7 linked regions of the Oryzias latipes genome follow. Each later gene encodes a partner of the first gene's protein in a complex. Links are inferred from orthologs where the notes say so. Each region holds a gene or a part of one and is shown on either strand. Other genes may lie near its edges. The genes, in order: snrpe, prpf4, bud13, cript, sf3b2, usp39 and scnm1.

What was found.
Region 2: snrpe (region 1) and prpf4 share a complex: the UniProt entries of both Homo sapiens proteins name them as parts of the U4/U6-U5 tri-snRNP complex. The link is inferred for Oryzias latipes from reciprocal best matches to the Homo sapiens genes SNRPE and PRPF4.
Region 3: snrpe (region 1) and bud13 share a complex: the UniProt entries of both Homo sapiens proteins name them as parts of the minor spliceosome. The link is inferred for Oryzias latipes from reciprocal best matches to the Homo sapiens genes SNRPE and BUD13.
Region 4: snrpe (region 1) and cript share a complex: the UniProt entries of both Homo sapiens proteins name them as parts of the minor spliceosome. The link is inferred for Oryzias latipes from reciprocal best matches to the Homo sapiens genes SNRPE and CRIPT.
Region 5: snrpe (region 1) and sf3b2 share a complex: the UniProt entries of both Homo sapiens proteins name them as parts of the minor spliceosome. The link is inferred for Oryzias latipes from reciprocal best matches to the Homo sapiens genes SNRPE and SF3B2.
Region 6: snrpe (region 1) and usp39 share a complex: the UniProt entries of both Homo sapiens proteins name them as parts of the U4/U6-U5 tri-snRNP complex. The link is inferred for Oryzias latipes from reciprocal best matches to the Homo sapiens genes SNRPE and USP39.
Region 7: snrpe (region 1) and scnm1 share a complex: the UniProt entries of both Homo sapiens proteins name them as parts of the minor spliceosome. The link is inferred for Oryzias latipes from reciprocal best matches to the Homo sapiens genes SNRPE and SCNM1.

Annotation. Positions count from the first base shown.
Region 1 is NC_019863.2:23,629,254-23,633,489, reverse strand, and holds the start of snrpe (small nuclear ribonucleoprotein E), read left to right. Parts: upstream 1-1,436; 5' UTR 1,437-1,605; coding exon 1,606-1,659; intron 1,660-2,844; coding exon 2,845-2,871; intron 2,872-2,953; coding exon 2,954-3,016; intron 3,017-3,707; coding exon 3,708-3,786; intron 3,787-4,066; coding exon 4,067-4,122; 3' UTR 4,123-4,236. UniProt on the Homo sapiens protein: Plays a role in pre-mRNA splicing as a core component of the spliceosomal U1, U2, U4 and U5 small nuclear ribonucleoproteins (snRNPs), the building blocks of the spliceosome.
Region 2 is NC_019870.2:4,014-8,194, forward strand, and holds the start of prpf4 (U4/U6 small nuclear ribonucleoprotein Prp4), read left to right. Parts: upstream 1-1,381; 5' UTR 1,382-1,474; intron 1,475-4,181. UniProt on the Homo sapiens protein: Plays a role in pre-mRNA splicing as component of the U4/U6-U5 tri-snRNP complex that is involved in spliceosome assembly, and as component of the precatalytic spliceosome (spliceosome B complex).
Region 3 is NC_019872.2:13,070,039-13,074,319, reverse strand, and holds the start of bud13 (BUD13 homolog), read left to right. Parts: upstream 1-1,481; 5' UTR 1,482-1,510; coding exon 1,511-1,647; intron 1,648-1,788; coding exon 1,789-1,876; intron 1,877-2,277; coding exon 2,278-2,362; intron 2,363-2,439; coding exon 2,440-2,838; intron 2,839-3,141; coding exon 3,142-3,446; intron 3,447-3,530; coding exon 3,531-3,639; intron 3,640-3,791; coding exon 3,792-3,930; intron 3,931-4,011; coding exon 4,012-4,193; intron 4,194-4,281. Other genes in the region: uncharacterized protein LOC101171185, read left to right, coding at 1-37, 138-235. UniProt on the Homo sapiens protein: Involved in pre-mRNA splicing as component of the activated spliceosome. As a component of the minor spliceosome, involved in the splicing of U12-type introns in pre-mRNAs.
Region 4 is NC_019877.2:12,480,875-12,484,899, forward strand, and holds the start of cript (cysteine-rich PDZ-binding protein), read right to left. Parts: upstream 2,801-4,025; 5' UTR 2,688-2,800; coding exon 2,672-2,687; intron 2,469-2,671; coding exon 2,403-2,468; intron 1,031-2,402; coding exon 976-1,030; intron 828-975; coding exon 724-827; intron 1-723. Other genes in the region: pigf (phosphatidylinositol-glycan biosynthesis class F protein), read left to right, coding at 3,216-3,443, 3,960-4,025. UniProt on the Homo sapiens protein: As a component of the minor spliceosome, involved in the splicing of U12-type introns in pre-mRNAs. Involved in the cytoskeletal anchoring of DLG4 in excitatory synapses.
Region 5 is NC_019876.2:19,504,089-19,508,361, reverse strand, and holds the start of sf3b2 (splicing factor 3B subunit 2), read left to right. Parts: upstream 1-1,473; 5' UTR 1,474-1,553; coding exon 1,554-1,677; intron 1,678-2,114; coding exon 2,115-2,161; intron 2,162-2,761; coding exon 2,762-2,992; intron 2,993-3,250; coding exon 3,251-3,286; intron 3,287-3,407; coding exon 3,408-3,480; intron 3,481-3,659; coding exon 3,660-3,760; intron 3,761-3,937; coding exon 3,938-4,046; intron 4,047-4,273. UniProt on the Homo sapiens protein: Component of the 17S U2 SnRNP complex of the spliceosome, a large ribonucleoprotein complex that removes introns from transcribed pre-mRNAs.
Region 6 is NC_019867.2:12,332,842-12,337,025, forward strand, and holds the start of usp39 (U4/U6.U5 tri-snRNP-associated protein 2), read left to right. Parts: upstream 1-1,384; 5' UTR 1,385-1,499; coding exon 1,500-1,557; intron 1,558-1,868; coding exon 1,869-1,947; intron 1,948-2,023; coding exon 2,024-2,118; intron 2,119-2,205; coding exon 2,206-2,342; intron 2,343-2,873; coding exon 2,874-3,026; intron 3,027-3,111; coding exon 3,112-3,337; intron 3,338-3,932; coding exon 3,933-4,007; intron 4,008-4,182; coding exon 4,183-4,184. Other genes in the region: c9h2orf68 (UPF0561 protein C2orf68 homolog), read right to left, coding at 38-153, 952-1,061.
Region 7 is NC_019874.2:27,122,062-27,126,087, reverse strand, and holds the start of scnm1 (sodium channel modifier 1), read left to right. Parts: upstream 1-1,226; 5' UTR 1,227-1,318; coding exon 1,319-1,369; intron 1,370-1,588; coding exon 1,589-1,659; intron 1,660-1,732; coding exon 1,733-1,821; intron 1,822-2,240; coding exon 2,241-2,332; intron 2,333-3,060; coding exon 3,061-3,161; intron 3,162-3,252; coding exon 3,253-3,380; intron 3,381-3,473; coding exon 3,474-3,585; intron 3,586-4,026. Other genes in the region: lysmd1 (lysM and putative peptidoglycan-binding domain-containing protein 1), read right to left, coding at 1-129, 323-505. UniProt on the Homo sapiens protein: As a component of the minor spliceosome, involved in the splicing of U12-type introns in pre-mRNAs. Plays a role in the regulation of primary cilia length and Hedgehog signaling.

The sequences.
Region 1 (4,236 bases):
AAATAAATAAAATCATCTGCATAATCTCTCTCTAACCAGCTCAGAGTTAGGGTGTCTGCCCTGAGACTGGAAGGTCATGGGTTCAAACCCAGGCTGAGTCATACCAAAGACTGCTGGACACTCAGCATTAAGGGGTTGGATTGGGGGGGTTAAATCCACCAAAATGGTTCCCGAGTGCAGCTGTGTCTGCAGCTCACCGCTCCCCCAGGATGGGTCAAATGCGGAAACAAATTTCGCACACTTAGGTGTGTGAGAGAGAGTGGGGTTTAATTTAATTTAATTTAACACACATGTAATTAGAAAGTCACATACATGTTTTTATGTTTTATATTCTTAATTTAGCTCACAAAAATCTTAGGTGGGGAAAAAACACTCCTCAATGGAGCTCATGTTCCTGCTAAATTCATAGGTCTGCATCTGCAGGTGAAAATATATTTCACATTTAATCAAAAACAAAAGTTATGCGATAAATTCTAAACCTTTTTGAAGAAAGAACACTACTGAACAAGAAGAATCATTTGTACCTCTCACCTTCTTGACTAAATACTTTTATAGACAACTTCTTTAAATCGACTGCACTTTTTAACAATGTTTATTGTAGAACTCAGATTAGAACTTTAAGTTTATTTATAAGGAAAGTGAAGTGAAACCTTTTACTAATGTTCATCTTGGGCTCGAGTTGTTTCTTATGTTTTTGTTTTTCTCTGCTGCCCTCTTTTGGATAAAATAGGTCACTGCTGTGACAGTAGAACCTGGTCAAGATAAATGTTTAGGAAATAGTTTACAAAATTAAACTCTAATATTGAAAACAAAATTACTTGTAAGAAAATAATAATAATAAAAAGTTTGAACAATTATGGAAAAATTACAAAAATTATCAACAATTTTCACTTATTGAATTTGTGTTGCAAAAACAACTACAGTAATTACATATCTGTATGCTTGTTAATATTATGTGTAATAGGAAAATAAAAAAATAAAAATCTAAATGATAAATTAGACTATATACATCCAACAATTGAACATCTATGAAGTAAATGACGCTATATCCAAACTAGTTGATGTATCAATATTTAAACCTTCTTTTCTGCTATATGAAAGCTGTTCAAATATTATTGGTACTTGTGTTAATCACTGAAATTAATCCAAGCAAAAATAAACGATTACTGAAAATGTACAAGAAAAAAGTCGAAGCAAAACCTTTGTATTTTTCCCTTCAGGATTAAGAAATAAATATGTACTGAAACAGACGTTGACAAAAAATATGGTGACTCAAAAACAACTTAATTATTAAATTTAGCCTTTTAATTGGTACCAGATGTGTTTTCATACTTTTTATAAGTCATAATTAGTCTGCATATTTGAAGGATTTCACACTGAACGTAATTTTTGACCAAATATCAAATTGTGCAGTATTGACATCCTGCCTGTAGGTGGCGCTTGTTCGGTGAAGGGAAACCTTTCAGTGCAGGAACCGGATGCGGAAAGAAACCCGCCATTAAGGCAACTTGGCATCGTGAGCTGAACGTTGAAATCATTCAATTGTAAAAGGCAATATTTCTTTAACGAAATACTTCTTGCGTGTCTTTTTTGCGTGTGAAGAGAATGGCTTACCGAGGACAAGGACAGAAGGTGCAGAAGGTTATGGTGCAGCCCATTGTATCCTTTCTTTGCTGTTAGCATTTGTTAGCAGCGATGCTAATCGGTTATTTCTCGTGTTTGCTCATCGGTAAACTGTATTCCTTTTTTTTCTAGGTACTACATGACTTTCTAAATACATTGGAATGCATATTTACTGACTTTTTTTAATTTCAGTATTGAAGCACGTATTTTTCTGTTTATCGATCAAATTTAAGCACGACGTTGTACTTCGAAAGAAATTGAATTTGAAACAAACATTTTTAGCATTTTCTAAACGTACATAGCAATATGATGGGTTATCAATTTACTATTATACATTTTACAAAAATACGTTTGTTTAATTGGAAAGAAGAAAACAATGACACGTTTACCTTTGGCAGAGTTTTCTTTTAGTGAAAAAAGAAGTCAACAATCGAGATGTTGCACTTAACGACTTAAACTAATAATATTAGTTAAATGCACTACTTTGGTCTGATAATTAAATGTTCTTTTGATTTGTTGTAACAATTGGTCATATTTTGTAGTTTTTTATTTGGTTTTTAACTTAACTCAAGTTTGTCCCTGTGAGTGTGTGAGACCTGTTTTCTTATTTTTCTTGATTATGAAGTGACATGTCATCTATAAAAAAATAAAAAAGATGTTAAAGAAATTAAGAATACCATTAAAATTTGACTCGTAAAAAAACCCCTAACAAAGTCAATAAATAAGAGAAAATCTAATGCCAGAACCCGTTTTAAATCCATTTTTAAGCGTGTCTTCAGTTGTTTTGACATGGTTGCCCTACAGTTTACGTTATAACGTGGATACATCAGCAGAAGTTAAATAGTAAACTGTAAAACTCTAGAACAATTGCAGAATTTCTGTAAGCTGGTAAAAGGCATAACTAACGTTAAAAGACCGCCGATAATACTTCAAAAATAGATCAAAATGATCTGAGTGGGACTTTCGAGCAAATTCTGCGTCATCCATAGCTTTATTTCATCATTTCGGTCATGTAATTGGTTTGTGAAGTCCTTTTTCACTGGCTTACATTGAAATGTATGACATTCACTGGTATTTAACAGGATCTCAGCTCTCCGGTTAAAGTGCAAAACAGTTTGTGTCACTCTACTGAAATTGAAATGACTAGTTCATGTTATTTGAAATATCTTCTGTAACATTGAAACGGTTTAGACATGTCATTTCCTTGACTCTGTTCATCAGAACCTCATTTTCAGATACCTTCAGAACGTGAGTATTGAAGGCTCTTGCAGGTTCACCTTTTGTCTCGGTGGTGACTGAAATACTGATTCGTGTCATCTTTGCTTTGCAGCGCTCACGAATCCAGGTGTGGCTTTATGAGCAGGTGAACATGCGGATAGAAGGCTGCATCATTGTAAGATTTCTCTTTATTTTACTTTCACAGTGTTTGTTAACTTTCCAAATGTGTGCCACAGTTACTTTAAAACTGGTATAGACTGTAAAAACGATCGACGATTCCAGGTTTTCCTTCTCCGCTCCAAAAGGGGGAACAAGAGAAAGTTTGAGAACCACTGACCTAGCATTTTAGTTATTTTTTTTATTGGAGCTTGGTAAAAGTTCTTAATGGCTGGTGTTAGATCCACAATAATCAACTTAAAACTGTTTTGCAGAAATTTTTTCTACGACTATTTTGGGGCTCTGTTTTAGCTGCTTTTGCAGCGGGCACCTTTCTTACCAGTAGAGCAGAACTCTGCAGCTGATTTAAAAATGTATTTGAAAACGGCAACAAAAAAAACACACACTGGTTCAGACTCACAATACAGTAGGTAAATGATCAATGAGAACAGCATAATGACAAACTAAGCATGAATTAGGAGACCAATTGAAATTGCCGGTCCTACACTCTTGACACTTTAATCTATTTTCAGAACATTCTCGGTGATCTTTTAACTATGATTATGCTGTTTTTAGCCGAAATAAAAACAAACAACCTGTGCCGTTTTCTTGGGGGGGAAAAACCTTGAGAGCCTGAATTTAAATGAATCCAAACAGCTTCAGTTATGAAAGTAGTTAATTGATTATTTCCTTTTTATTTTATTTTCCAGGGCTTTGATGAGTACATGAACCTGGTTCTAGATGATGCTGAGGAGGTCCACATGAAGACCAAGAACAGAAAGCCACTGGGTAAGACTCTTTAGCTTGTTTAATTTGTTAAATTTCAGTTACTATTTTTTGATCTTAGCAGTTATTAGAACAGCTTTATTTATTTATTTTACAATGAAAAATTTGAATATTCTTTGTATTTATTAACATGTACTGTTAGCTTTTGTTTCTAGAACTGCTGTAACAAAATATTTGTTTGAGGAAAACATAGAAATATTTTTCCAGTCAGTATTTATTTGTTATACACTCAGGAATGTCAGTTTTTAAAATGTCAAGATAAATTTCTTTCCTTGTTTCACAGGTCGGGTTATGTTAAAGGGCGACAACATCACCTTGCTGCAGAGTGTCTCTACCTAGTGACACCAGTGACGACTGCAGATCCTGTCTTTTTTTTCTGTTAACTGCTTACGATTTTATGCATAAATGTGAGTTTCTCTACAACCTTTGAGAATAAATGGCTTTGTTTTTTTC
Region 2 (4,181 bases), on another chromosome or scaffold:
ATTTCTGCATCTATTATTAAAGTATTTATTAGTAATACAGTGGAAATTAGTAGATTGGGTTAGAATGTTGATTTACGGTATGCGCCCCTAAATTTTCTGGTTGTGCCCCTAAAATTTTCAGTTGGGGGCCACAGTGCTCCCAGTGAAAAAAGTTAGTCTGGAGCCCTGTATATATATGCGTCACAAGGAAAATAGAAATAAGATCAGAAACTCGTGCGTTTACTTTGTCTGTTCTTTTCTCCAAGCAGAAACTCTCTTTTGCTGATGATGCAGCCGTGTTACTTTATTGATGGACGTATAATCTTCATACGCCGTCATTTAAATGTCCGAATCCGTCTTACTGAAGTACAGCTCTCTCTCTTTTTTTCTCCACACGTTTCCATGGTGACTCCAGAAATCGGCGATCCATTGAGAATGTTTTTATGTACCTGCTGTGCACGTGCATTAACCCAGGGTTACCAAGTGGAGCGTAATTATGCTAACTCATATCCGGTCTGTTGGAACCGACATACCCAGAGTAAGCAAGTTCAGGTGGATTTCAGCCAGAGTTCAGGGTTAAAGTCAGGGGAGTTTAAACATGACTTCTGGAATACCCCCCTGGTCTCTGTGGGGGTTTACTCAGGAACCTCTGGTTGGATCAGATCTTCAGACTCCCACAAAGAGGGGGTCAGAAGTCTACAGTGTTTGACCTCAAAGTCACAAGCTACTCCAAAATATCATTTTAAAGAACAAGCTCTGTTTCTTTTACATAAATTATGGGACACTAGAACTTAAGCTCATCTCTGGTTCTGTGGGTTTGGGCTATTCTGGAATTGAAGACGCCCTGTGACTACACCCAGCAATAAGAACCATACCATTTCTCCACTGAACCTCAGGTCTGAATCCAGCAGCCAAAACAGCGCCCCCTAGGGAGCAAAGTGGACGTACTTTGCTGATTATCTGACACACCTAACCACGAAACGTGAAAGGTTCTAGTTTGATGCTCCACTGGTTCCAGTTCAGTCAAAGGGTCTTAAAAGAATGAGGATGCTCTGGGTCACACGGATCAGTTTGTGTAAGGTTTTGGTTGACAACCACCTGTTTCTGTCATGACAGCCAGCTGTACAGAATCTCTGATTCGGAGGAAAGCCACGAGCTCTGCTCCGTCTGCAAGGAACCCAAGACCTGGAGATGAGCTCCGGACGTTTGACCTCCTTTCTGGACATCCATTCAGCAAATAAACAAACACCACGTGATCTGCAGTTTTACTTCTGGTTAGCAACAAATTAGGTTCGTCACGCGCTTTTACCAGTGAGCTTACCTTGAACGAGTGGGTAAAACGCGCGCTCGCGGAGCTCCACGACCTGTTGTTGAGACACAAGACGCGCGTATCCAGGTTTTTCCGGTGAACCGGAAGTAGTAGGTTGACCCGGAAGCGGTTACAGCACATATATCCGGATCATTTAGCGCGTGGAGGCAGCTTTGTCGGATTAAGGTGAGTTTACGAAAAAAGTAACGAAGCTGTAGCAGCAAAAACAGTTAAGGACTAGCACGCGCTCACAGCATCTAATTTATTCCTCCGCCGCACGCGCTTTCAATCAGCCACAGATTCCCCCGCGTGGATCGGAACCGGTTCCACTGCAGAAATTGGTTGGAGGTTCTAACTGTTGTGCAGCTTCGCCTGCAAAAAGGGTGATGGAGGGAAGAAATGTTCAGTGTTTAGTAGATGACGTCATTAGTACAGACTGAATGTCCGTTTGCCTCAAGAAACGCAAAACAAAGAAAAGACGTAAGAATAGGCTGGCATTTACGATAGGACAGGTATAAAACATCAAATTACCAAGGATAGAAGATTAAAACTACTGTCGACTAAAATGCTTCATCGTTTAAAAAGGCGACCGTACCAAAATCTCCAAATAGGGGAGGAGCATCTGAAAGAAACAGAGAAGTTCAGCCGGCTAACAAGGAATATTGTGTTTTTGTTTTTCATTTAACTTTATTTGTTTTTAATTAACTTTATTCATTTCGTAGACAAATGCAAACAAAGGGAGTCAAACGTACACATGTTAACATAAAATGATGGATTCCTAGAGAAGAAAATAATAGAATAACTGAATATGATAGAGCTTATTGATGCTAACAGATGTGAAGAATTTATGTCATGTTTACATTTTATTTCTAAGTATCACTTCGGGTTTGCTGTTGGGGACTTAGCTGAATATAGAATTTAGCAAAAAATTAATATTTTTATTAAAATATGAATCCTTTTTGTCCTGATTAAAATGATAGAAATCGAAAATAACATTCTCATAAGGGTGAAAATCAGTGCAGATCAAGTCAGTGATCGTCTTTTAGAGAAGGAGGCCAGGCGTCAATCGAGAGGGTCGGAGGGTCCTGTCCCGGGTAATTATGAAAAGCAGACCCGTTATGTACATTTTCAAGGCATCGTTTCAGATGATTTGAAACCACCAGGGGGGTATTCCAGAAAGCAGGTTATGCTAGCTCCCACGGTAAGTTTGAGGCTAAGGAAGTGGATAACCTCAGCTTTCTGTTCCAGAAATGGAGGTATGTTTCAGGGTAGGTCAAGTTGCCATAGCAACTCATGCTCTGAACATAACCTGGTCAGGAGCAGGTTTAGTTGAAGGTTAGTTTGTTTTTCAGAGATGTGAAGCAGCATGGCGTGTCCATTTGAAGATGATTTAGTGGATGAAGAAGCTCAGATAATACTTTTTCCACCATGAGAGGATGATAAGACCACATATGGATGTTGGAAAGAGAAACTTTATACTTTCATCTAACTTAATTATTTGCTTAAGTTAAGATGAATCTTTTTTGGAGTTCAGTCAGCTTAAAAATAACACGTAGTTATCAGACATTTATTTTACTTTCATTCAAATTGATTCAATGAAGTAGGTGTAACTTTGGTGCTGCTGTTAGATCTGCACCGCAAGGAATTGTGGGATACCATTCCCTTTGCCTGTCTGGACGGATTTGGGTTTAAGTGTGGGTTTTTGACCAAATGTGTTTAGTTTAGCTGTTTTACTGTGTTTTGTCTAGTTATTTTGTCCTGTTATGTTTAATTCTTTCTGCACCATGAGTGAGAGGGAGGAAGAGGCGGATGAGTTTATTTAGCACCACTAGTGCGCGTTTCCATGGTGACTCCAGAAATCGGCGGTCCATTGAGAATGTCTTTATGTACATGCCGTGCACGTGCATTTACCCAGGGTTACCAAGTGGAACGTAATTACGCTAACTCGTATCCGGACTTTTGGAACCGACATACCCAGAGTAAGCAAGTTCAGGTGGATTTCAGCCAGAGTTCAGGGTTAAAGTCAGGGGAGTTTAAACATGACTTCTGGAATACCCCCCAGGTGCAGAGATTGGGTTCACTTCTACTCTGTTGACGGCTACATTTTCTTCTGACCTGCGGGTTTACGACACAATTTCCAAACTCATCTCCAGAGTAAATATAAACATGTGAGCGGTGGAGGCGATGCGGCTCAATGGCTGCGGGCCGTTATCGTGTTGTGGGGATGGCTTTATAATAATAATTGTTATGAACATTCATCGTCTCCGCCTTGTTCTCACTGTCCACTTCTGTCTTGATTCACACTTGAGTTGCTCCTTTTTGGTCTCCTGAACAAAATCCGTAATAAACTGCATCTGGTCCAGAATTCCACTGCCCATATTGTCTCCAGAACTCCAACCTTTGATCACCCCCCCCCCCCCCCCTTCCTCCAGCAATTGCACTGGCGTCCAATTCAATTCAGACTCCTCCTCTTCCTCACCTTCAAATCCCTCCATAACCTGGCCCCTGTTTACCTCTGAGCTCCTCCAAGTTGACGCCTCCTCTCGTTTTCTCCGGTCCTCTTTTTTTCTCCAGCTTTCTCACATTGTTTTTTTATCCTATTTTTCTAAATGTATTTTTATTCTTGTTTTTACTGCTATGTACAGTGACCTTGTGTGTCAAGAAAGGCGTGTGTCATCAAATTATTATATGCAATTCTTAAGATGGAAAAATTGATATTAAAATATAAAAGGAAAAATTCTACTAAATTTGGTCAAAATTCATCAAATCCATTCAGAGCAGGCTTCTAATGAATTCCACTGTCTATTTGATGTCTGCATTTAATGTCTCCACCTTATACTTAAATTTAAGTGAAATGAAATTAAACCATTGGGTGTTTTTGCTGATATTTGTT
Region 3 (4,281 bases), on another chromosome or scaffold:
ATATATGGGGAAATGAAACAAATCACAGTGGAGAAAGGTGGGTGGACTGAAGAGCTGAAGGGAATGAGTGTTAACCAAAAGCTGGCAGAATTTTTCGATAGATTTTTGGTGTGCTTCAATAATTTCCCTCTTTACAGATTCCCTGGTGCCATGCTCAGCAGTGAGCGTGTTTCTGCAGAGATCCTGGTTCTTGATTGGCTGCCTGGTCTTTTTCCTTCATCACAATGACAGCTGATGGCACTGAGAAGAGAACAGTCAGGCTTTTGCAGATACTCACTAAGCTAAGCACTTTCGCTTCTGTCACAGAATAGATCTCTCTTCCTTCTGTAAAAAACACTGGTAAATGTTTCCACTGTAGACGATTTAAATGTTTAGGAGCTGAGAGCTGTGAGTACTGAATGTAAATTAACCATTAGTAGAAATGAAAGTGCAGCTTTTTCGTCGAGGGAGACAGTCTAATGGCAGACTAAGAGATGCAGTTGCTGACTTATTAATGAGGTATTATTGATTTTATGTTTTCTTTTCTTTTACATTAAAAAGCACTAATAGTTTTTGTGGCCTTTTCCTCACTGCAAAAGCAGCAAATTGATTGTGTTCTTGTTTGCTTGTTAATAAAAGAAGAGCTCTGTGAATTTGCTTGTAATCATTTCATTTATGATTGAACAAATATAATTGTTTTGTGTGTTTGTTTGTTTTTGTTGTTTTTTTTAAATCATAAATCAAAGAACACTGTTGACAGATAAATACCAGTATTTGGAAATGTCACATTTTCTCAATGGAGCCTAAATGCATTGTCATTCATGGAAATCATACTAGACCAGCAGCTGGTTATTACTGTCTTAGATAAACAATAACCCATGACATTTAATCTGTCTCTACATATTGGACATGACATGTAACAGGGACAATATTTAGGTCTTTTTGTCTCTGTTATAAAAAGCAAGTAGTGACGGCCTATATTTTTGAAAAAGTTTTAGTGTAAAAAAAATGATCGACAAATAAAAAAATAAGAACAAGAATTGAAATCGTATGCAAAGAAGAGTAAAGACTTTTACAATTCAAAAACATTGCTCTCCTGTCTTTCTAGGCATCGGTGTATGACCGACTAAATTTGTGGGTCAATTAGGGAAATCAGGCAATTTTAGCCTTTTTGGTGACAGTCATTATTTGTATGCCAGTCACTGGGTCCCACCACAGACACAGTCTTGCAGCAGATTGTGGCCCAGTAGTTATCATTTTTAACTTCTTTGGAGTCAACTTTATCTTCAATGTATTTATTTATGCATAACAGTAACTTTTTTGTTATAATAATAATAATAATAATAATAATAATAATAATAATAATAATAATAATAATAATAACAATAATAACAATAATAATAATAATAATAATAATAATAATAATAATAATAATAATAATAATAATAATAATAATAATACAGAAACGCGTCTTCTTCCTCGTCGTCTACATTGACCCTTGACGCGACCCGTAGTTTCCCACAATACAAAGATGGCAGCGGTCGGTGGTGGAACCGGACCCGAGCTTTCTAAAGCTGAGTACTTAAAGCGGTATTTATCAGCTGACGACAACCATGGTGCATCTAAAGGAAAAGGCAAGAAGAAACGAAAAAAGCTTCCTGAAACAAGGTGAGTACCGAAATACTGCGCCGTTTGGCTTTCTGTTAGCATCCAAGCTAGTTTCCTTATGCTAAGCTATTTTTGATTTGGAACTTTGTTTCTATGAGTTTAATCGTTTTTATTTTGTGTTACTTCGTTGTTTTTATCTAGACTTAAAATAGTAGACGATGATATTGATTGGAGACAAATGGTCCAACAGCAGCCGGATGTCGAAGAGGATGAAGAGGAAGCTCCGGTGGTGAGTTAGCTAGCAGCCTTGCGTTAGCATTTCCCCCGCAGTACGGTCTACTATGTTTAACTTTTACACGCATGAAAGTCTGATGGCGATATTTGATTTGATGATAATAAAATGTATGTCTTTCTTTTTTGTTAACATTATTGAAATGTAAATCCAGACGTAACACAGGAATTTCATCTGACGTGAGATTGAATTGATCTGCTTTAATGCAGGATAATCGATGCAAGATAGATTTGACACATTGGTTTGAATGAAATATGTGGGAAACTTGCATTGTGTGTGAAGCAGTCAACACAGATGTTTGAACAGAGTAAATAATGATTTGATTTGGTCTATGTTATGTACATTAAAGTTTTAAAGCCAAGGAAACCTAAATTTTGTACTTTGATTTACCTTCTCAGATTGCAGAGTTCATCGATGAGCGGCCAGAAGAGGTGAAACAGATGGAGGCCTTTAGGACCAGTAACAGATGGAAAATAGTTGGGGGTAACTATAAAAGCAGTATATAAATTTGGCTTCTTTTAAATTATGTTGTTTTTCATATTAACTGTGTTGTTCTGTAGCGGATGAAGACGAAGACAAAACAATTGACGAAGAAAATGAGCAGGAGGAGCCTTTAACATCTAAAAAAAGTCGGCATGACTCACCAGAGCTGTCATCGAAAAGTGGGAGACATGGTTCCCCTTTCAAAAAACCAAGACACGACTCTCCAGACATTTCTCCTCCTAGGAGAGGACGCCATGACTCTCCGGATAAATCCCCTCCCAGGAGAGGACGCCATGACTCTCCGGATAAATCCCCTCCCAGGAGAGGACGCCATGACTCTCCGGATAAATCTCCTCCTAGGAGAGGACGCCATGACTCTCCGGATAAATCTCCTCCTAGCAGAGGACGCCATGACTCTCCCAGCAAGTCTCCTTCAAGGCAACATTTAAGGAAGTCTGGGAAAGTTAAAAGTAAAGGTGAGTTTTATTTTACAGTTAAGATTTTCTTTCTTGCTTTTATACAGAACAATGCTCATTTTGCACAAGTCACTGAAAAAGCTGAAAACGGCATACCAATGCCATTTAAGCATTGAATAAGCTTAAAGCTGGAACCTCTTAGATTTTTGGGTTATAGTAGTTACTAAAAATATCAATAGTTATATTGACACAATAAAATGTTTATGTAAAACACATTTATTTTTTTCTATTTCATATTAGGATTACTAGTTTTGCTCTCTGCACTCTAATATATATAGTGCAAACATTCTCTTTGATTCTCAGAGTCTTCTCCCACTAGAAGGAAGCCCAGCTCATCGTTACACGGTAAACCAAGGTCGCCAGATGATCGGCGGTCTCCTTTAGCTCATAAGACTAAGGTTAGGCTGGATTCAGACTCCGATCAATCTCCTCCACGGAAAAAGCAATCGAAGCGAGAAGCTTCCGACTCTGACCAGTCTCCCCCTCGGAGACGCTCCAGAACAAGGCAGAGATCCGATTCCGACCAGTCTCCACCAAGAAAGCACTCGAGGAGTGGAAAGGACTCGGATGGAGATCTGTCACCACCACGGAGACCTGGCCAGTCTCATGTGAGGGATCTGCGCTGTTCAGGGATTCGTGTGAAACCTAATTTGCAGCACAAACCCCATCTAATATTTTTGTGTGTTTTTCAGGACCACAGGATGCTTTCCGGAGGAAAGGCTGGTTTGGTATCTGTGGAGATTCTAAGGGAAGAGCAAAAGGAAAACCGACGCAGAGAAAAAAAGAATCAACCTCTTGAAGGTTGGCCTTGCTTTTGTTTTTCAGTTTTACTTTTAAAAAAAAAGAGAGTTTGAAACAACCCTTTTCTTATCGTATAACTTTAGACTTTCTATATTTCTGAAGTACCGGTATATGAAAGTGTTTTTATACTATTTATACTATTTACGCATCAGATGAATCTCGTAATGCGGAGACGGTCTTCCGAGACAAAAGTGGCAAAAGGAGGGATTTGACCTCAGAAAGGGAGGAGCAGAAGAGAAAAGCAGGAGAAAAGGCTGCAAAAGATGAAAAATATGCCCAGTGGGGTAAAGGGTAAATCCACAAAACCATACCAAGTCACTGAAAATGCTACTTCCACCACATGTAAGAAGACAAGTTATTGTTTGTGTTTAGGCTGGCTCAGAATCAGATGGAGCAGCAGAAGCTGGAGGACGCCCTGCTGGAAGCCCAGAAGCCCTTGGCCCGTCACCGTGACGACGAAGATCTGGACCGCATGTTGAGGGAGCAGGAGAGGGACGGGGATCCCATGGCTGCCATGCTTCGGCGGAAAAAGGAAAAAAGCTCAAAAACACAAGGTTTGAAACATTCTACAAGTTTTTGTACTTTTTTTTTTTTTTTTACTCTTCTGATGGAAAAATTTGGGCATTAGTACTTCAAGTACAG
Region 4 (4,025 bases), on another chromosome or scaffold:
AGCCTTTGGGTTTCACTTGAATAGCAAAGTTTGACAAACATCTCAATAAATAAATATTTTATTTTTGCCCATTTAGTTGTTGTTTCACAGCAGTTTGGGTTGTGCATATATTCAGGCATAATTTTTAGCTCAGGGGCTATTTTTGACCACTTCATCAAAACCTGCAATATTTGGGGCACAACATGCAATTCTGCAATCAATGTAAAACCTTGTATCCACTTCTGCAAGCCGAGTGCTTGGGGCTGGGGTCGAGGTTTGTAAAAATATGGCTTTTGAGGTTTGAATTTCATCACTCAGTTCAAATACTTTACAGACATAAACAAACAGTTAAGTTAACCTATTCCTATACCTTTAAATTCTTTGTATCAGTCACCAGGAACCCTAAAAAAATTACATTTACATCAAAGGATATTTTATAAATTAAAGTGTGTAGTGAGAAGATAATAAAGGACTTGCCAACATGTGTACATTTATATAAATGGGCATCTGTTATGGAAGCACAAACATATGCCAGCACAATGTTGGTTATAGTAAAGATTTACAAAATTACAGACAAATTTATATCAATATTATGACTGAACATAAAAATGAAAAACCTACTTAATACTGTTCTGCTTTAATATGATTTTTGGTTCTACAATACATTGTAGTGTTAATTTTTGACATGTTACCTTCAATTTGTATTGAAGAAAATAAAAATAGAGTTTAAGTGCACAACTATACCTTTCTTGTAAGCACAGCCCTGGCAGTAGTGCGATCCAGGCTGATGAACAGAGCTCTTGCAGATTCTGCAGATGGCAAAGCCCGTCTTACTGTAAGGGTCGAACCTGAGAAAAACCACAGTTAAACATTGAGAATTAGCAACATCAAAGAACCTTAACAGCAAAATAAACCACTAGTGCTTACAGAAAGCTAGAAACTACTACACTGCCATTTGATTTATGAGTAAAAGTTTTTTCACAGTGCAATACTCACCTGGCCTTCTTAGATGTCAACATCTTGTTTTCATTTAGTTTACGGCCTCCACTCTCTAAGAAAAATAAAACAACATTGTGAGATTATATATACACATGTATGTACATACATACATACCAGTGGCGATTTCTTTAAGACTGCAAGGGAAGCTCTGCTTCCCTTATAATGTCACAAAATAAATGGTCAAATATGTACTATTGTATTGTATTGTATTTTATTTTATTAACATTTTATTGACTAAAAATGTGTAAGAAAACGTTCATCTCAAAGACGAGTTCGTTAAGAATCAGTTACATATAGCAAGTCGCCTGACTCGATTTCCTTCTCATACATTCCCGCAGCATCACAGTGCATTTCTCTAAAGAAGCCCAGCGTCCATTGACTTCAATCGGGCTGCTTTGAACATTTTTTTTCTGCGCTTCGAAACTAGATGGTCATTGGATAAACGCTGTGATTATGTCCCGCCAACGGATGCTCAGCGTCTCTGGGGGTGAGTGGGGAGTGGGCCAGCCCAAACTCCGAGCTTCTCCGTGATGATTGAAGGGTCTGTTAAAAGACCGCCTTCTGACTGAAGCTTTTCGCTTATTCACATTTCTCAAGTTCAGTCGAACTAAAAACTGCTGCAACCTATTTCTTTGATAATTGCTGGGCTAAATTGCTTGATTTTCATCATACATTTCACACAATTATACACCACATTGATTGTTTCAGTTTTACAGAGTTTAATATTTTTTTTTAGATAGTTAATTCTTCCCTTTGATTCAGGAAGACTGAGGTCAGAACTTCAAGTCCTGTTTTCAGATCAGGACTTGCAGGGTAACAGGGGAAAGCTGTATGATTACTTGGTGTTCCTTAAAGACATGGAGTTGGACAGTCCAATGCCTCAGCTTTACAAACTGTTCTCATTAGTGGCAACAATTGGAGTTACATCTGCAGGTGTAGAAAGGAGCTTCTCCTGTTTAAAGTGACTTAAGTCCTACACCCGAAACACAATGGGCTAAGGCTGTTTAAGCAGCCTAGCTCTGCTGGCCATTGAGAGGACATTGGTCAAGTCAGTTGAGACACCTAGTTGGTACGACAGGGTCACAGACCATTTTCTTGAAAAGGAACGTAGGGCATAAATACTTTTAAATAAATAGACAATTTTATGATGTAGGCCGAAAATGAGCCGACAGACAGACCGACAGACAGACAGACCGACCGACCGACCGACCGACCGACGGGGAAAACAGATATGTAAATGAGTACTGTTCTAATAAATATTTTAGCAGTAGCTTCTCCTTCCATCGTTTCGATTCCTTAATGACGTTCATTTACAAGACAGATTTTTTGGGGGCAACATATTTATTTTACCTGTCGTTCCACGATTGTCTAAATTATTAAACGTGTAAACATTTTTGGATGTTTTTGGATAGAGACTACGTTACCAGTCGTATTTCGTGCTCCATCCTTCCAAGTGTCAGGAGTGATGACCTTTCCGAGCTTCTTTTCGCCTAAAATATTAGGAAATCCCACATTAACAAAGAATTATTAATAATTAACAAAGCTAACTACGAGCAAGGAAAACCAAAACAAATGCTAGCATAACAAAATATTAGCCACTCAACAAAACAACAAAAATGTCACTAACTAACTATATTAACTAAGTCATAAGTGTAAAATTATGTAAGAAACAAGGCGAAAGTGCGATATTTACATTTTTCACAAACCATCTCAGCTGCGTTTACTTGGCCTGTCTTGATATAAAATGTGTACAAGCGTTCAAGCTAGCTCTGCTCATGTAACTTCCGGTTGTCTTCGTCAACTTGTACAAACAAATCTCATTGGGTAATCCTGTCAGTAAAACGTTATGTGATTCGTTCACTCCGACTAGAAGCGCATTTCTAAAATCCAGAATAAAAGTAAAATGAGAGTAACAATATTTTCGCCACGGAATCAGCACTCGAAAATATAAATTTCACTTTAGAAAATAGTATTTTATTATAAAGTGTTGAATATGATTTAAATATGTTGGGTAATGTATGTCAAAACAAAGAAATTGGTAGAAATTAACAATCAAAAGAGAATCTTCTGTTTTATTGTGAAACGCAAACGGAAATTGCTTTTTTTTTTTCATATTTACGGAAGCGTAGTCATACATGGATTTGCGTGTCCTTTCGCCTACCAAAATTCTAAGACACCTCTACTGAAATTATCTACATTATTCTATTGTCTTGTTGTGAAAAGTGAAAGTCTTCATCATGTGGGACCACGAAATCAGAGCCATGGTGTCGACCCACGCTCTGATCGCCGCTTCGATGTTCATGGCTACGGTGCTACCTGCAGTTTTTGTTCTAAGCTTCTCGGTGTACGGCACTCACCTGTTGTGGCTGTACTGCACATCCGGTGCTGTGAATGCTGTCAGTGTCGTCGTCTTCTGGCTCCTCGGCGTCACACCGTCCACTAAAAAAAATACACTTGGATATAAGGTCAGAATGTCTTCCCTCGGAAATGTCTTTATTTTGTCCAAACCCAAAGAAATGTGCTTGATTTGTTTAAGGTTTTTGCCAAATAGTCATACGTATATGAGAGAAGTATCAGAAATAATTATTACACAATTTAAAATAATAGAAAACTAGGTTTTTCAAAACAATTAATTCCTATTATTTACTCGTAAACGTTTTGTCTCGTTTTTAAAAAACAAATTTGCAAATGGACGTTTCAGTAATAATTAGAAATGTGTATTTCTGATTTGAACACATTTTTAATTGAGTTTATAAACATTTGCTACAGTGCTTTATTTTCACGTTAAACATTTTAAATTCATATGACAGTCTATATGCAATTGTTGCTTATTAACATTTTTCTGCTACAACAAACTCATATAAAAAAATAATTTTTCTGAGCTTTTACATATAAAAATTGTTCATTTTTTAAGTGGATTTTTCTCAAATGTCTACGTTGTAACTTTTTGGTAATAATGATAATCCTGTTTCTTTCCACAGCTTTCCAGGCTGTTTCGTGCCTGTCTGTACTTTTTCTTGTCATGTCTGTTCTTCCACACTGTGATT
Region 5 (4,273 bases), on another chromosome or scaffold:
GAGCAATTAAAAATAGTGTATTAAGCAAACACTATTGTGTGGCTTTCATGTTTGTTGGTTTTCATCAATGTTCGCTTTTAAAATGTTGTAATGGGGCAGTATCAATACATCTGTTTAGAATACATTTCAAGTCCATACATTTTAAGGTGAAGAATTTTAAATATTTTCAATGCTACACATTAAATGAGTTAAAAAATTTATAAAACATTTGAGTGAATTTTACATATTTTATGAGTTGAGTAATATTATAAAAAATATAGTTAGTTGAAGTGTTTTTTTTAGTTGGAAAATATTAAAAACTTTGAGTAAATAATCTCTCTTTTATAAGTTGAGGAATCTTAATATTTTTAATATGAAATAATACAAATTTAAGCCAACTGACAATATAAATTTTAATTAATGTTAACTTAAAAGTTTTAATAATATAACTTAAAAACTATTGCGTAATCTGTTACACAATAATTTTTAAGTTCAGTCAACTCATTAGGGTTTACAGCGATGCATTGGACTGGAATAATGGACTATAATAATCTCCCATTAGTGGGAACAATCACCTAAACACTGACCACTTCTTGGTTTCAATAGTACAATTCCCATCAGCCCTTGTCCTCAAACCAGAATGTTCCCAAGCTGCTTCCGTTTATTACTCACCTGTCTCTCATCTGCAATCACACAACCTCTATATCACTTGTCAAACTTAAGGCCCGCGAGCCAAATACAATACTTGGTGTGTATTCATATCTAAGGGGAATTGGAGTAGAAATATCGGATTGGGCAACTGTACATTAGGACTTAAACACTGTCAATATAACCTAACCTGACAGAATAAAATTTAAAAGGATTTATGCTAGAGTAACAAGCAAACATGTTTTCTGTGCAACTGTGTCACTTTAACAAGTTATAATAAATAAATGAGTTATTTAACATTAAGGAATAATTACGTTTATTTTTCATTATATTTAGTTACCTTTGAGGAGAACCACTATGCTGATGTGGCCCTCGGTGAAAATGAGTTGGACACCCCTGCTATATATACAGAAAACTAGCTCACATTACAAAAAGTTGTGGCACATATTTACCTTTATACTTGTAACTTCTGTTAATTTCAATTCTTAACAACCCAAAATCAATTTAACAAATTATACAGCATCACGTATTTGAGCCCTGCCCTGTCATGGATTTGATTTTGTTCTAGTACAAAGAAAATGCGAATATACTTCAATGTCTTTAGTAGTAGTATATTAGTAGTTGTTGTTGTCATTCATTGTAGTAGCAGTAGTAGTAGCAGCAATGGGACAACGTTTTTACATTATTTACACAAATATATCAATTTGTTTACAAAAAAAACGTTTTCAAAAATCATATTTCAACCAGTTAACGGGCCAACACTGACACCCAGAGACGTCCGTAGGAAAATTAAAGGAAAATTTACAACTTCATATCCCTAAGACCATTGCGTTTCTCCCATAATGCCTTGCTTTTTTTTCTTGTTCTCGTTTCTGTCTCTCGCGAGTTTATCTCTTTTTTCCACCGCCGTTGATCGACTGCTCAACATGGCTTCTGACGGACCGCCGGGCACGGACCCGAATGATTTAGGTAGTGTAATCGCAGCATTAAACACATGGAGCGTCCCAGAGCTTCAGGGGAAGCTGGTGGAGCTAGGAGCTCCAACAATGGGTAAGAAAAGCTCCCATATAGTGCAAAAATCAAAGCGCGTTGTTTTGAAGCTAGCTTACGGCTAGCATTAGCTTGGAGCACATAGTCGTTGAACCTCCGTCATAAAGCGCTCCAACAACAGGCCCGCAGAATGGTTTGACTCCGTTTAGTATTTTCATATGCATATTTTAAAAGCCGTTTTTGTCTAATATTTTACAGTTGGAATACCAAACGTAACAATTGATTGCTTTTGATGATTTCTTACAAAAACTAGCTAAGTTTTTGCTGATGATGATGATCGACAGTTCCATTGTTGTGAACTGCTTAGGATTTGCTAATAATGTGATCAATAATTGGTATTTTACGTCATATGGTACTCTGATTACGTTAATAAATAACTCCAAACCGATGAATTATTATTAAAATAAAATACAATGGTCGTGCTTCTCTTAATTTAGGCTCTAGAGAGGAACTCATTGACAGACTGAAGGGCTACATGATGCAGGTAAGCTCATCCTCGAAATCAACATCACACCCACACAAATGCAACTTCCCATTCTTAATTCATTTTTTTTCTTGTTGATTTTAAAAACTATTATTCAAATGGATAATAATAAAATGTTTTTGAGGGTTTTATACCAATAGTTTGGGTAATCTCTCTTGTAGCCCTTCACATTGAGCCATTAAAACGGTGTGGAACGTTTTTTAAATTTTACGATGTCTATCTGGATTTATGTATGTTTAATTTTGTAAAATGTTTTAGTATGCTGTATAGGGATAATAGTTCAATTGCAAAAATCTCAAGTTAATATGGCAACAAACAACTAAGGGAAATCATTTCATTAGTAGCCTAACAAAGAATAATTGGTTGGCTAATGAAGGCTATTGAGTGGACTTAGTTTTGACTGTTTTTAACTTATCTGCATTGTTCAACTTCTGAATTTATAAATCAGACTGTAGACATGTGATGTTTAGCTAATTTTTAATGTGTCAGGTGGAAAAGCAAAAATAAATGGCCCAAAATAAAAATAAAAAAGATTAATTTCATATCAGTCAGCCTCCTATCTATTGCTCTTTTCACAATATTTTCATTTCTTTTTTTCAGGTGCCGAGCATTCCTCCCATGCCCCCGATGCCCATGCCACCTATGCCCCCAGGGATGGGAATGATCCCAGCAATGAACATGATACCCCCTGGAGCTCCTCCCTCTGGCATGCACATGACAATGGATCATCCAAACATGCCACCTCCTGGTCTCACACAGGACGATCAGCTTAAAATGGTTCAGCAGAGAGCTGCCATTGTGTTACAACAGGAAGAAAGGGCCAAGCATCAGGTGGGATGGCAGAACTGGCCAACTGCTGCATTTGACACATTAATCGCTAATATTGTAGTACTCGGCAAAACAAAATTACTGGACTGTATTTAAACATTGTAAGTTTTACAAAGTAAATTAGGTAAAAACAACGATCATAGATACAATTTTTCAATGTATTTGGGTAAAGCCAACATTTTTTACTAGAGACCTTTAACAGAAAACACCTAAACAGTCACATTTGCTAAACATTGGCCTTTTTTTGTTTGGCTAAAACAGGGGGACGAAAATGAACTTCTGGAGCAGCAGCAACGGGTAAGGAATTGCAAACAACACATTTTGTTCAGCTGTCAATTAAAATAAGGAAGACATTTATTTTCTTTGTTTCTTATTGTGATTTTATATTGCTTGCATCTCTCATTCATTTCTTCCTTAGGCTGCCGTGCTGCTGGAACAAGAACGACATCATGAAATGGCAAAGATGCAGCCAGCTGTCTCTGCAGTAAGAGGTTTGTGGAATATCCTAAAACCTTTTACAAGTGATTCCATTCAAGATCAATGTCACAAAATGTTTGTCAAGGGAAGACGTCTCTGCTTCCTACAGTGTTGCAAGCTGACGTTAAACCAGCATTTAATAGTATATTTTTACATTATCAATCACAAATTTGTTTTTTTCACAAAACCAAAGTTTCAGTTTTGGATCCTCACGGGCCTTTACCTCCTGGTGTCACCTTGTTGCCATCTCATAAACAAAAGGTGCCACCCCCTCCAGGAGAAGATAACAGAGACGTACGTTTTTCCTGCACTTCTCTAATTTTTGTTTTAGACATAGGTTAACACTAATTCTGGTGTGATTTAAGCAAAGTTAGATTCTTTTGAAGTTTTTTTAAACTCTTTGAACTTTTTTGATTAAAATGCGACAACCTGCTGGTTTAGTGTTAAACTGCAATTCCTTTCTTCCTGCAGATCTGGCAGAATGAAGAGATTAGTGTTGGCGGGCCCAAGATCCCACAGGCTCTGGAGAAGATCCTTCAGCTGAAGGAGATCAGGCAGGAGCAGCTTGTCGATCCAGCAGGTTAGACTTACAAAATAAAATATCTCCAGATTCTTTACATTCACTGTTACTGTCGTAAGGTATGGCCCCTAAAACATTTTTATTTTAGGGTATAGCATGGATATGTGTTTTTTGGTTATTTAATTTAAAGTCTGATTTTTTTTTTTTTTTTGCTTTATTTTTTTCAACAGAACCTGATCTGCCTTAAGTGTGATTTTTTTTATTACTGATTATAAAACCAAAACAAA
Region 6 (4,184 bases), on another chromosome or scaffold:
TCTAAAAGCAGCAAAGTAAGAAATATGTCAGTCTTACGTCTCCGTCGAGGATGGTACACCTGGATGTCAGGTCGCCGAGGCTTTTTGGGGGTTGTGGTGCGCCTGTGCCGCTGAAGCTCTTTGGCTTGCTTCACTTCTTTATCATAGTCATCTCTTATAAAGAAATTGAAATATTTTCTGATTATTTCTTAAAAACATAGCAAGTTGCACAGTTGAATAAAACACAGAGCATCTTGGTCATGGCCATGAACTTAAAAATGTTCCTAGGTCTGTTTACACATTGGAGGATAATACTTTTTTTAAAATTTTATTATTTTAAGGCAAAACAGCTTTGTTTTTCATACATCAAAGCAATTTAAAGAGCCGCACAACAAAGCAACATTATTATTGCTGTTCTTTTAGCTTTATAGTTCATCTTTCAAAGTTGCCTAAATAAAATCAACATGTTAAAAATCCGTTTTAAATGATTAAATAAAGAGTGAGAGTGTGGGAATTAAAACAAACTTTTTTGTTTGGACGTAAATCAAAATACTTATCATACATTATTGTAGCAGCTTTTTTTAAGACCAGACAGAGAGCAGATGCTGTAAAACAGCCCAACTCAGCGTATGTAATTTATCAAGGAGGAACTTTAAAAGTTTTACACACCAAACCTAAGTTTATATAATAATCCACTTTTAAATAATAAATTACACTAATAAAACATAAACCGAATAACTTAATGCTCCTTTTAAAATTTCAGTCAGTCCAATAGGGTTTTGCTTCTACTGCTTTAAAGTAAAAATAAACTTGACTTTAAGCCTTTTAGGTACTTTAAAAAAATGTTATTTCACTGTCTGCCATTTTTAAAAAAATCATTTCACATCAATCATGAAATGACAGCAGCTACAGATTGACATTTGACATCCCAAGTAAGTATGCTAACTCGGCTAACAGCAAAAAGGAAATCACCTGGCAATCTGGTTCCTCCGAATATGATGAAGGAAACCGTGGCTCATGTCCAGACGGCCCCCCGGTTTGTACTTCAGCTCATGCACTCCTTCATCTCTTATAAGATCCATTTCAGCAAACACTCTAGAAAGAAAACACAGCTAAAGAAGAACAAGCAAAATACTAACAAAAAGCTAGACAGCTAACGATGTATAAATGGATGTCCAACCGTAGCGTTCCCGGAGTTTCTACAAATTAATTTATTGCGTGTAAGTCCTACAATGCACATTGAACTAAAATATAAACTATTTTGGTTATATTTCTGTGACAAAAAAAGAAACTGAAGTATACAAATAAATAAAATATATTACTTAGAGTTTACATGGGGGTAAACATTTATTTTTTAAACTCCGGGTTACGTTTTGGTTTCCCACGCCATTACCACCGACGTACAACCACCGCGAGTTTCGAGGAGCTGAATAATATCCATTCATTTCCTCTCGTAAACCTTCAAGTTTTGTTAATTTTTGTTTCGTTAGCAAACCGTTTGCTAACTTATAGTTACAAGAATGTCTTTAAAGCGTGAAAGGGAGGAAATAGAAGACGACGAGGATAACGAAGACGAAGGTATGCTGATTTGTCTCTTACGTCCGTTTTTCGTTTTGTTAGCCAGCCAGAAGAGCATTTTCTAGCATAAAAAGTTTATATTGTGTCAGTTCCATTCTACACCAATAAACTGATGGTTTCACATGTAAGACAAAGACAATCAGCATATAAAAATATATGTAAAACCTGTTTATTTTAAAACAGAGATCGATTAATAGAAAAATCTTAGCTTGCTAGCAAGCATGTTTTGATTGCTAGTAGTTAGTTGTTCTCGTAAAAATGAATTCCGTTTACGTCTACTGAGCTTTATCGTGATTTGCTCTCTTTTGCAGTGACAGTCAAATTTAGGCGAGGACGTGTGGTTGAAGACCGAAGAAGCCGCCATTGTCCTTACCTGGACACCATAAACAGGCAAGGAAATGTTTGAAAATGTATGCTAAAGCTAGTTAGCATTCTTCTTGTAATTCAGTTTCTTCTCGTCTTGCAGGAGTGTTCTGGATTTTGACTTTGAGAAGCTCTGCTCCATTTCTCTGTCTCACATTAATGTTTATGCCTGTCTTATTTGTGGGAAATACTTTCAAGGTAGACATATTAGCACATCAAACGCACATTGTTATTTTCCTTTTTAGATGACACTAAACATCTTTACGTTTGCATTCCTTGTTGCAGGCAGAGGTCAGAAGTCTCATGCCTACACTCACAGTGTCCAGTTTTCTCACCATGTGTTCCTCAACTTGCACACACTCAAGTTTTACTGTCTGCCAGACAACTATGAGATCATTGACTCATCGCTAGAAGACATCACAGTAAGTAATGCAGTAAATCTGCTGTTTTTCAATGTATAAATGAAAAGGTAATTGCTCTGGGGGGAAAAGTAAACAGTTACATGTTAAAATTAAACAAAGTTTTTTGTTTTTCTTCTAGATATGATTGATAGATTCTTTTGCTCACATTCCTTGTTTGTCAGTGTAACACTTCAATAGTTTTCATTAACATATTCTGTGTTTAAAAATAGTTTTAACTTGTGAACCCAGAGTACATAAAAATGTGTTCGATATTTATATATTTTATACAAGGCCAATGTATTTGATTGCATAGTATATTTTATTTACTATATTTTGCACATAAGTATCAGTACTAGTATCTAAAAATAAGTTATTTAGCAATGTCTTAAAGTATACTTTTTAGAGTTTTGGCTGTAATTTTAATACGTCTTTTTTTTTTACATTTCTTTTTTAAATTTTTAATGTTTTATGTTAAGTAATTTTTACCCCTCCTTTTTTTATTTTTTGTAAGCTCTTGCTTTGTGTTGGTAATCTTGCTCTTTTTTTCTTTAGTATGTGCTGAAGCCGACTTTCACCAAGCAGCACATTGAGGGTCTGGACAAACATGGTAAACTGTACAGAGCCTACGATGGTACAACCTACCTGCCAGGGATTGTAGGGCTTAATAACATTAAAGCCAACGACTATGCCAATGCTGTACTACAGGTATGAAACCCCGCTGATGTTGATTTTTGAGGCTGTGGCATCAACTTAAATAACAGGGGGTTTCATATTGTACTTTTGTTTTTAGGCTTTTTCCAACGTCCCACCTTTGCGAAACTACTTCCTTGAGGAGGAGAACTACAGAGACATCCGGAGGCCACCAGGGGACATCATGTTTCTGCTGGTGCAGCGGTTTGGGGAGCTGATGCGCAAACTTTGGAATCCGAGAAACTTCAAGGCCCACGTGTCGCCCCACGAGATGCTGCAGGCTGTAGTCCTGTGCAGCAAGAAAAACTTCCAAATCACCAAACAAGGTAACTATTTTGTGGCCTGTGGAGTGCTGACATAAATAGGGCCATGTAGGCTGAGATTTTGGGCAAAAACCTCATTCCATCAATGAGAGCACTAAAGATGAAACATGGCTGGATCTTCCAACATGACTGATCCCAAAAACATAACTCTGGCATCAAAGAGAATCTGTGGAGGGAGTTTAAAGTATGTTTCTCAGCAAAAGCCTCAAAACATTACAGCTCTGCATGGAAGAATGGTCCAGAATAATAGCTATAGTGTTTGTAAACCTGCTTAAGACCTATGTTTGACCTTTGTCATAGATAATCATGGTTACATTACAAACTATTGAGGTGAACTTTTGTTGTTGACCAAATTCTTATTTTCTGCACTATTATACAAATACATTCTCTAAAAATCTGACAATGTGATTTCCTGGATAATTTATTGGACATTTTATCTCTCAGTTGAAGTATATCTATGGTAAACATTACAGACCAAACTCAGCTTTTTGAGCGGGACAACTTGCAGAGTCAGTGGCTGCCAAATACTTTTTTGCCCCACAATCTTTAACTCACTGGATAAGTTTGTAGAGTTTGCTCAATGTTTTCTGGTTTGCAGGTGATGCTGTGGACTTCATGACATGGTTCCTAAACGCCATGCATGGCGCTCTTGGAGGCACAAAGAAGAAGCCATGTGAGTCAGAAATTCACTCCTAGTTTATAGTAAATCTGTTGAATTTCTGAATTCATTTATTTGATGTGTAATTTTCTCTTTTATTCCAATGTAAGGAGTCTATTTTAGAGCCAGTGCTGGTTGTCTGCATGCAATGTCCTTCAATTTAACTGGTCTGCTCTTTGTTTTCACACAGCA
Region 7 (4,026 bases), on another chromosome or scaffold:
ACTTTGTTCTTCACAGTCCTCAGACAAATGAATCCCTTTCAGGTCTGACAGAACAGGGATCGACAGAGACTTCTTCAGGAAAATAGAGTCGTTGGTGTAAAGCCTATTTGCTCTCTTGATTTGTTCCATCTGGAAGACAGAAGAATGTTGTTGTTTTTTTTTTAAACTAACAAATGTCAGAATCAAAAAAAATTATGTCATAACATAAAACCAATGAATAGATTTTACTTTTAGTGTGGAAACAAAAGATGTTCCTTGTTAATATTTCAAATTGTTTTAATTGTCTAAAGTAGGGAGTACAAATCTGGTTTATTATACTTACAGAGACTCCATACTTCAGGGCCAGACCTTGGAGCGTGTCTCCGGACTGAACCGTGTGTTCAACGTGTCTCTGGCGGACCGGAGACGCCGGCGACGATCGCATCAAGCTGCCGTACGACATAGCTCGGCTTCCGCGAAGAAGACCGCCTCTCCCGGATGGCAAAGCCGCTCGTTGTCCGGACATATCCGATAATTATTTATGTGAAAATCATCAGTAACACGTACGCAATTTTAATGTTGGAACTGGTTTGACGTCGTCCTAAACTAGCAAGCCCAGTTCACCTGCTAGCTGCTAAAGTATCGACTAATTCATCTTCTTCTTGCCAAAGTGCCGAAATGGCACTGCCTGAACCTTATCAACAGTCGGGAATTGAAGAAAAACTACTTAAAACACCTTAAACATAGCTTAACTGTCAGTAAACAATCTAAAAACATATCTAAAAACTTTAAATATGTTGTTTTTTTCAGTCAGCTGCAGTCTGTTGCCATGGCTGCCGCTGTGAATGACGGCTCTCATTGGGTGGGTTGTGTTCAAAGTAATTTGAATACTGAAATTTAAATGAAAACATAACATTTTTATTTTTTTTATTTTAATCAGAGTTTGTTTAGTATGAATTAAAATTTCATTGATTAAAATAGGCAGTTTTTTTCCCCTTCGCGATTTATTTACAAAAAATATGTGATGTTATAAACATTTCACATCGATGCTTTCTTAAGAGTACATGCAAACAAATCAATTTAAATGTAAAATAATATTTTAACAATGGTTTGTTAGACTAGTTAACTTGACCATAAATAAATGAAATGGTACGATGGGAAACTGCAACGTGGTTAGCTGGAAATCGTGGACAAAAAAAGTGTACATGTTTGTCCCTGAATGCAGCACTACCAACACTTCCGGGATAGTGTGACGTATAGAGAAGCTAGCCCAATGAGTTAACTCATTGAGCTAGCCGTTAATCTGGTGTTTATACCATTGATTTACTTCGATATAATTATGTCATTCAAAAGGGAAGGAAATGATGGGAGCCAACTTAATATTTTAAAGGTATTTAAAATGATATAATACATTGTATTCATAAAAGAATAGGCTTTCTTAAAGTTCATACGCTGTCGTTTTTTATTTGTTTTGCTAGCTTAGCTAGTAGCAAGTTTCATATGGATATAATGTACACAGAGTAAATGAAAACTGTTTGGTAAAGTATTTAATGTAAATTTTTCATCTGCTATGAAATACTTACTGATGATTTGGGCTGTTGGTTTACAGAAACGGCGTGTATCTGACCTTTTGTCCAATTTTATTCCGGAAGATGAAGCTGCTCTTCTGAGTAATGGCAGGTGAATATAACTAAACCCTAAGTGTCAGTTTTGTTGTGAAAGTAACTCACCTTTCTGCGTTCGCTCCACACAGGTACACGTGCCTTGTGTGTTCGTATCGCCCAGTGTTTGACACAGTTGACATGTTGACAGTCCACAGGCAAGGGAAGAAGCATTTAGAAGGTAAATATCCTCCTTAAAAAGTGACTCTTAGTGTGGAAAATTTTTAAATTCCCCAGTATAAAAGTGTCTTGGTGGTCATATTTAGATGTAGACAAAACACTGTAGGCTCATTTCTCTCAGATAGTGTTTGCACATTTGGCCCCAAACAGATCTTCTGTGTTGTTGATGTAACAGGTGTGTCATATTAAGGCACTAATGACAGGAGGTGTGAGCATCATTCGCCTGACGTTCGTTGTTTTCCGACATTAATGCTACATAACAGAGTATTGGTAGAAAATGGATGTAAATGTCACTCCAGAATGGGTGTGACATGTAAATATGTCATATATGTTTTCTTATTTTTTAAATAAAGTTTTATTATGCATGTGCTTTTGGTGCATGCTTTTATATCCGTTGTGTTTTTTTGTTTTGTGTTTTAGGTTTAAAATCCTTTTATGGGAAAAAGTCAAAGTTCAAGAATGAAATTGCAAAAAGAAAACATGAAGATTATGTCAGAGCAGAAGACAAAGAGGTTTGGAGCTTCAACTTGATCATTTTACCTGCGGGTAATTTTGTATTTTGACCGACCGACCGACCGACCGACCGACCGACCGACGTACCGACCGACCGACCGACCGACGTACCGACCGACCGACGTACCGACCGACCGACCGACCGACCGACCGACCGACCGACCATCACACGAAACAATGACATGATGACCGACCGACCGACCATCACACGAAACAATGACATGATGACCGACCGACCGACCATCACACGAAACAATGACATGATGACCGACCGACCGACCATCACACGAAACAATGACATGATGACCGTGTGATGACCGACCGACCGACCGACCGACCGACCGTTTTTACAGAGACGACTAAATACTTAGTGTTATTGTGGTTAAATTTTTATTGTTGCTGAATTATAGTACTTTATTGACTTGTTTTGGAATGACAGTTGTAGAAAGGATGCACCTCCTGTACTCCTGTAAAGATATTATGTCGCTGCTTGTAACATGTTAAATATGGATATAAGAATAAGTCGTATTCTTGTGTGACATCCAGTACGTGCTTGTGGCTGCCACGTGACTCAGACAACCTGTAGACTCTGCAGCGTGAGTTGAAGCGGGTGTCTGCTGGTGGAAAACATGAGCAGAGCCGGCCAGAGGACACATGGAGCATTTAGCTGAGTTGGAGTCTGTCAGAGCTCAGTCTGAGAGACAAGTCTCTTTTGTTGTGATTGCAGGAGCCCTCCAGTTCGGCACCTTTACTGGCACAGACCCGGAAACTTACCCATCATGCTCTTCTGAAGACTGTTCCATACAACAGCTGCCACAGAAAAACCAGGTTGGTCATCATTTAAGGTTAAAATACTCATCTGTAGTTTAAAATGGAAGTAAAGATGTGAACATATATCTGTTTATTTATTTATTTTCAGTACAAAGTTGAATAAAGGACAGTCGAGCACTGCTGGAAACACATTTCAACACAATTTCCCATCTGCATGTTGGAAACCAGAAGTTTCTGACAATGCATCCACAAGTGATTCTAGTGATTGTTTCACAGGTAAAATCTGCTCCTAGAAATCATATTTTGATATTTTATTTAAAATAACTGATGGTTCTGTTTCAACTGATGCTTTTATTTTTATTTTTGTAGAGTCTTGTTCATCCAAAGACAGAATTCAGTGTCAGTCTGAGTCGAGACAAACGGCAGAACTCATAACGCCGCAGAGGCGAAGAGAGATGGAGCACTACCTCAAACTGAAAAGGTGCAAAACTCTCTTTTCCTTTTTGTCACCAGTGCTAGATTGAATCTGCAGGCCACAGAAACTATGTTTTAGAAACTCTTAGCTTAACAGTCCAAGCAGTAAACTGATAAAATGAGTGAAGTCCTCTGCCTCAGGCTCCACACCCAGCTCCTCTCCAGCATCTTCACATGCGGCCCGTTGAAATTATTCTGCTTCCTTGATTTGTTCTCTCACTCATTTATTTGTGTTTGCACCATTTCTGTACATTGTGATTTATAGGGTAACAAATATATGGGATGTACACAAGACTTGACATTTTAAAACATCTGCGTCCAATCCTGACATAAACAAATGGCACGCCTATCAACAAATAAAGTAATAAATCCACCAAATCTTAACAAAGTTCTTCAATAAACGTATGGAAGGTTGAGATAATAAATTCATAATTGTGAAAGTTTATCA